Linked DNA regions of Anolis sagrei. The protein of the gene in region 2 purifies or fractionates together with the protein of the main gene of each other region. This does not show direct contact. Links are inferred from orthologs where the notes say so. Each region holds a gene or a part of one and is shown on either strand. Other genes may lie near its edges.

What was found. The genes of interacting proteins can lie anywhere in the genome.
Region 1: the proteins of DNAJC7 (region 2) and BAG5 purify together in Homo sapiens (affinity purification with mass spectrometry; 4 studies listed by BioGRID and IntAct, with this or other methods). This does not show direct contact. The link is inferred for Anolis sagrei from reciprocal best matches to the Homo sapiens genes DNAJC7 and BAG5.

What each region holds. Positions count from the first base shown.
Region 1 is NC_090021.1:327,335,418-327,339,172, reverse strand, and holds the start of BAG5 (BAG family molecular chaperone regulator 5), read right to left. Parts: upstream 2,780-3,755; 5' UTR 2,505-2,779; intron 1-2,504. UniProt on the Homo sapiens protein: Co-chaperone for HSP/HSP70 proteins. It functions as a nucleotide-exchange factor promoting the release of ADP from HSP70, thereby activating HSP70-mediated protein refolding.
Region 2 is NC_090026.1:45,047,828-45,051,582, forward strand, and holds the start of DNAJC7 (dnaJ homolog subfamily C member 7), read right to left. Parts: upstream 2,683-3,755; 5' UTR 2,574-2,682; coding exon 2,458-2,573; intron 1-2,457. UniProt on the Homo sapiens protein: Acts as a co-chaperone regulating the molecular chaperones HSP70 and HSP90 in folding of steroid receptors, such as the glucocorticoid receptor and the progesterone receptor.

The sequences.
Region 1 (3,755 bases), on a different chromosome or scaffold from region 2:
CCCCTTTATACTAATAGATGAACACTTTGTAAGCCGTCCTGAGTAGAGAAGAGACGGGGTAGAAATACTTTATAAATAAAAATAAATAATACTAATAGGTGCACTCCCTTTATACAAATATATGCTTTTTGAGCATTGAGTGCTGGTCTTTATTTACTGTAATAATAATAATAATAATAATAATAATAATAATAATGTAATAATGTAATGTAATAATGTAATATAATTGACTGGTTGCCCTGACACGACAAATAAATAAATAAAAAATTTACTGTCCTGATTTTAGATTTTAGTAAATAAAGAACCAACATTCAAAAAGCAGGGGAATTCCAGACAGGAAACAATCAGGGCCAGCTAACACCTCCCAACAAAGGATCCCCCCTCTGGAAGCAATCAGCCAAGCTTTGAAGCTGCAAGACCATTAATCAAGGTGACAATTGCAGCATTCACACCTGCCTCAAGCAGGCAAGAGTTTTTTCTCCCGCCCTGGACATTCCACAGATATATAAACTTCATTTGCCTAGCTTCCAACAGATTCTTCAACCTCTGAGGATGCATGCCATAGATGTGGGCAAAACGTCAGGAGAGAATGCTTCTGGAGCATGGCCCAACAGCCTGGAAAATTCACAGCAACCCATTGATCCCGGCCATGAAAGTCTTCGACAACAACCCTTTCTTTATTTTCCTTTATATTAGATGAACCCCCTTTTTATTTCCCTTTACACTAATAGATTAACACTTTATTTCCCTTCATACTAGATGACCACCCCTTATTTTCCTTCCTAGTGCAGGAGTAGATGCAGCCCCTCTTTATTTCCCTTTACACTTACTTATAGATGAACCCCCCCCTTTATTTTCCATTAAATGAGGCAAACCCCTCATTTCCCTTTATACCAGTGGTTCTCAACCTTCGTGATACCGTGACCCCTTAATATAGTTCCTCATGTTGTGGTGACCCCACCAACCATAAAATTATTTTCATTGCTACTTCGTAACTGTAATTTTGCTACTGTTATGAATCGTAATGTAAATATCTGATATGCGGGATGTATTTTCCTTCTCCAGACCAAATTTGGCACAAATACCTGATATGCCCAAATCTGAATACTGGTGGGGTTGGGGGGGGTTTGATTTCGTCATTTGGGAGTTGTAGTTGCTGGGATTTATAGTTCACCTACAATCAAATAGCATTCTGAACTCCACAAATGATGGAATTGAACCAAACTTGACACACAGAACTCCCAAACAGAAAATACTGGAAGGGTTTCGTGGGCATTGACCTTGAGTTTTGGAGTTGTAGTTCACCTACTGTGGACTCAAACAATGATGGATCTGGACCAAACTCTGGCACAAATACTCAATATGCCCAAATGTGAACACTGGTGGAGTTTGGGGAAAATAGATTTTGCCAATTGGGAGTTGTAGTTGCTAGGATTTATAAGTAAAGTAAAGGTTGTCCCCTGACATTAAGTCCAGTCATGTCTGACTCTGGGGTGGTGGTGCTCAGCTCCATTTCTAAGCCGAAGAGCCGGCGTTGTCCATAGACACCTCCTAGGTCATGTGGCCAGCATGACTGCATGTAGCACCGTTACCTTCCCGCTGGAGCAGTGCCTATTGATCTACTCACATTTGCATGTTTTCAAAGTTCTAGGTTGGCAGAAGCTAGGGCTGACAGCGGAAACTCACGCCGCTCCCTGGATTCGAACCTGCTACCTTTCGGTCAACAAGCTTAGCAGCTCAGTGGTTTAACCCACTGCGCCACTGGGGCTAGGATTTATAGTTCACCTATAATCAAAGAGCATTCTGAACTCCACCAATGATGGAATTGAACCAAACTTGGCACACAGAACTCCCAAACAGAAAATACTGGAAGGGTTTGGTGGACATTGACCTTGACTTTTGGAGTTGTAGTTCACCTACATCCAGAGAGCACTGTGGACTCAAACAATGGTGGATCTGGACCAAACTTGGCATGTATACTCAAATGTATACACTGGTGGAGTTTGGGGAAATCAGACCTTGACATTTGGGAGTTGTAGTTTTCTGGGATTTATAGTTCACCCAAAATCAGAGCATTCGGAGTCCCACAAACGACAGAATTGGGCCAAACTTCCCACACGGAACTCCCATGACCAACAGAAAATACTGGAAGGGTTTGGTGGACATTGTCCTTGAGTTTTGGAGTTGTAGTTCCCCTACATCCAGAGAGCACTGTGGAGTCAAACAATGATGGATCTGGACCAAACTTGGCATGGATACTCAGCACGCCCAAATGTGAAGACTGGTGGAGTTTGGGAAAAATAGAGCTTGACATTTGGGAGTTGTAGTTTGCTGGGATTTATAGTTCACCCACAATCAGAGCATTTGGAGTCCCACAAACGACAGAATTGGGCCAGACTTGCCACACAGAACTCCCATGACCAACAGAAAACACTGTGAGACTAAATCCCCTTCAAATGCATGCAGTTCTCACAAAGTACGTCAGCCGGGGCTTTCCCTCTTACCTTCCCCGCCGTCCCCACGCTCTCTCCTGTCAGCACGGGCCCCAAAAGCAGGCAGACGGGCTCCTCAGAGCCCCTCCCACCGCAGCCGCCATCCCAGGGCTCTCCTCCGGCGCCCCAGGGAGATGAGATCCTCCTCCGGCTCCTGCTTCTACTTTTATCCCGACCCAAGCAGTCTGGCTCCCAACACGCATGCGCACTCGCCCTCTTTCCCTGACAGGCACTTTCCAGGCGGAGGAGACGAACACTCCTTCTCTCGCGCGACAGTGCCGTAAAGCAACACCAACACCCGCCCTCGCTTGTTTGGGGGATCCTTTTTTGAAAGCCTGTTGCCAAGGAAATCGGGTTCGGCCTCGTGAGCCCGCCCACTTTTCTCTGCGCATGCGCGAGTTGCGAGAAACCGGCGTTGACTTATTAACGGCCCTTCGTCTACTTTTTTTTTTGCTTCACGCATGCGTGAATGGCCGAGGGATTACTCTTTGGTTTCTGCGCACGCGTAAATCGCCAAACAACTCCAGGGATAGGCCAGATTTGTCTTTGCGCATGAGTGAATGGCTATTTATTTATCTGTCGTGTCAGGACAACCAGTCAAATTATATTACATTTCTAACAAACAGACAAAATACACAATTTGTGAGTTTGGTAGTTGATTAAATGTCCTTTGACCAGTATAGTCTAGATTTCTTGGTGTAGAAAAGGAATGCAGTATATTTATATAGCAGCTGGTGTGTGTAAAATTAGTTAAATTGGGAACCACAGATATAAATCTTATGGTGACTTCTAATTCAGTGTCTTGTGAGAATGCAGCATATCTGTACTATTTATTTATTTGTCGTGTCAGAGCAACCAGTCCATTATATTACATTTCTAACAGAACAAAGCAAACAAACAGACAAAATACAAAACTTGTCAGTTTGGTAGTTGCTTAAATATCCTTTGACCAGTATCTGGCCACTTGGGAGTGCCTCTGGTGTTGCTGCAAGAAGGTCCTCCATTGTGCATGTGGCAGGGCTCAGGTTGCATTGCAGCAGGTGGTCAGTGGTTTCCTCCTCTCGCATGTCATGGATTCCACTTTGTATCCCCATTTCTTAAGGTTGGCTCTGCATCTCGTGGTGCCAGAACGCAGTCTGTTCAGCGCCTTCCAAGTCGCCCAGTCCTCTGTGTGCCCAGGGGGGGTCTCTCATTTGGTATCAGCCATTGGTTGAGGTTCTGGGTTTGAGCCTGCCACTTTGGACTCTCGCTTGCTGAGGTGTT
Region 2 (3,755 bases):
CTGGGATCACACAGGAACAGGTTTGTTCTCTCTGACAAACTGGAATGATGTGGCACTTGATTACCTGGCAAAAATGTCAAGTCCACTACAGAATTTCACTGGATGACCAAAGGCCATTGAAGGCTTTCTACAAGCACTCATAATACTAACCCAGTTTTACAGGCTTTGCACAAGGAACCCTAGCACACGAAGTACTCGATGGCTCTCCTAAACATGGCTGTTGCTGCCTGGGGGCATCTTTGGGAGGTGTTAACAGGCACTTGATGATTGGCTGTCTGGAATTCCCCTGTTTGAGTAGTGTTCTTTATTTACTCTCTTGATTCTGGTGGTTTTTTTATGGAGGGTGAAGCGACAGCTCCCCTGGTGGCCAGAATATCCTCATGAAAAAGCTGGATTGTTAAATAGCCCCTGAGTGTCTGTCTATATATGTTATGTGTCTATGGCATTGAATGTTTGCCATGTATATGTACATTGTAATCTGCCCTAAGTCACCTGCGGGGTGAGAAGGGTGGAATATAAATACTGTAAACAAACAAATAACTATATATTGATCCTCTCCCTGCAAAAATTGAGATTAGAGGTACCTATGTTGTTGCTTATGATGCTTGCTTTTATTTTTTGATGATGATGTTGTTTTTATGCTGTTTTATATTTTGCTGTTCTGTTTTTAACTGTATGTTTTCTGGGCATGGCCCCATGTAAGCTGCCCAGAGTCCCTTTGGGGAGATGGAGGCAGGATAGAAAAATAAAGTGATGATGATGATGATTACTATTATTATTACAACAATTTTATTGATTAGCCAGTTGGCCTTATCAAAAACAGACAGTGCAAACACAACATACAACATACGTTTGGTCCTCTTAAAATAGAACACAAATATATATTATTATCATTATTATTATTAAAGTCCATAGCAGAAGCGAGAAATGGATATGTTTTGGGATGTTACAAATCAGACCTTTGTGGTTGTGAATGAAGTAGAGAGTGTTTGAGGACTGGAACATCCGTAGGGATACCAAGGTGCTTGTTTATAGAGCTATTGTCCTCCCAACCCTGCTATATGCCTGTGAGACGTGGACTGTCTACAGACATCACATGCAACTCCTGGAATGATTCCATCAGCGCTGCCTCTGGAAAATCCTACAAATCTCTTGGGAAGACAAGCGGACAAACTTCAGCGTGCTGGAAGAAGCAAAGACCACCAGCACTGAAGCAATGGTCCTCCGCCATCAACTCCGCTGGACCGGCCACGTTGTCCGGATGCCTGACCACCATCTCCCAAAGCAATTGCTCTACTCCAAACTCAAGAACGGAAAACGGAATGTTGGTGGACAGGAAAAGAGATTTAAAGATGGGCTCAAAACCAACCTTAAAAACTCTGGCAAAGACACTGAGAACTGGGAAGTTCTGGCCCTTGACCACTCCAGCTGGAGGTCAGCTGTGACCAGCAGTGCTGCAGAATTTGAAGAGGCACGAATGGAGGGTGAAAGAGAAAAATGTGCCAAGAGGAAGGCATGTCAAGCCAACCAGAACTGCCTTCCACCTGGAAACCAATGCCCTCACTGTGGGAGAACATGCAGATCAAGAATAGGGCTCCACAGTCACCTACATACCCACCGCCAGTACACCTATTCTGGAAGACAATCCTACTCGGACAACGAGGGATCACCTAAGTGAAGGCAACTACATACAAGTTCTGAGAACAGGGAAGCTCTGGCCCTTGACCGCTCCAGCTGGAGGTCAGCTGTGACCAGCAGTGCTGCAGAATTTGAAGAGGCATGAATGGAGGGCGAAAGGGAGAAGCGTGCCAAGAGGAAGGCGTGTCAAGCCAACCCCGACCGAGACCGCCTTCCACCTGGAAACCAATGCCCTCACTGCAGAAGAAGATGCAGAGCAAGAATAGGGCTCCACAGCCACATACGGACCCACAAGAATACTGGAAGACAATCCTCCTCGGAAAACGAGGGATCACCTAAGTAAGTAATAGTCATATTGGGAACTTCTCATTGTACTTTTAAAGGTTGTATATTATGTGATGTCATGGCCTATGGCTGGTACAGTAAACAATTCATTCACTCTTTTCAATACTGAAACACGACCATACAGGCCGAAAAACTCACAGCAACCCTGAATTAATGGTTTGTTTGCAAACTTGGATCCACTTTAGTTGCCAAGGGCTTCGACGTCGTCTGCTCCCAGCAAACTACAAATCCCAGGGCCCCATAACATGGAGCCTTAGCTGTTTAAGTGGGGTCAAACTGCACTCATGCTGGGGTGCAGCATTCTGGCACTCCAGAACCCCGAGAAAGGGGCTGAGAGGCATGACAATGCTGCCTGCAGAAGGCCCCTGGAGAGGGCCTCCTTTCCCCCCGCTTTCCTGTGAAGCAGGCTCCTCCTCCCCGTCCTGAAGCGAAGAAGCAGGCCCTTCCCGCCTCGGGAGAGGAGCCAGGCCTTACCTCCGCGTCTCCGACTCCTCGTCCTCGTCGCCCAGCATCACCGGCGCCTCAGGATGCGAAGCCACCGCCGGGGCGGCCGCCATAATCACGTCGCAATCTCCGCCCGCCGACGCCATCTTGCTTCCTTGTTGCTGCAATCAACGGCCGGCGAGCCGGGAAGAGAGAGGGAGAGAGAGACAGAGCGCGAGGCGAACGAGAGGAGAGAGCGGAAGACAGGAAAAAAGTGCACTTCCGGAGAGGGAGAGAGGAGATGGGGGCTAGAGAGGAGATGGGGGCTAAGTCCGCCAAGAGGGAACCTCTGGGTCTCCTAGGTTACCAAGTGGGAGAGTGGAGGACTCTGTGGCAGGACAGAGTTTGGCTTCTATGCACTATTTATTTAATAAATAAAATACTAAATAATTTATTTAATAAATAGCTACTAATATTGTTCTGTGCTAATCATATAATATATTGTATGTACATAGAATATTGATAATAATATAATGTAAGAGTATAAAACTAATCATAATACAATATAATAATATAAAATTATTTATAAAAATATAAATTATTTATAATAATAATGCAATTTATATAAAGTTTTGGAGTTGTAGTTCACCTACATCCAGAGATCACTTTGGACTCAAACAATGATGGATTTGGACCAAACTCTACAGGGATTTATAGTTGCTGAGATTTATAGTTCACTTACAATCAAAGAGCATTCTGAACCCCACCAACCACTGGATGAATTGCTGCCGAATTTGGCCACAAGACACCTACTAACCCAAGGAGTGACCATCACTAAAAAAACCCTGATTTTGTCACTTGGGAGTTGTAGTTGCTGGGATTTATACTTCACCTACAATCAAAGAGCATTCTGAACTCCACCAATGATTGAATTGAACCCAACTTGGCACTCGGAACTCCCTTGACCAACAGAAAATACTGGAAGGGTTTGGTGGGCAGCGTCCTTTGGTTTTGGAGTTGTAGTTCACCTACATCCAGAGAGCACTGTGGACTGAAACAATGATGGATCTGGACCAAACTCTACACATATACTCAATATGCCCAAATGTGAACACTGGTGAAGTTTGGGGAAAACAGAATTTTGACATTTGGGAGTTGTAGTTGCTGGGATTTATAGTTCACCTACGATCACAGAGCATTCTGAACCCCACCAATGAAAGAATTGGGCCAAACCTCCCACACAGAACCCTCATGTGGGCTACAGCAACGCGTGGCAGGGGATGGCTAGTAATACAATATAATAATAATATTGTCATATAAAGTAAAGGTAAAGGTAAAGGTTTCCCCCT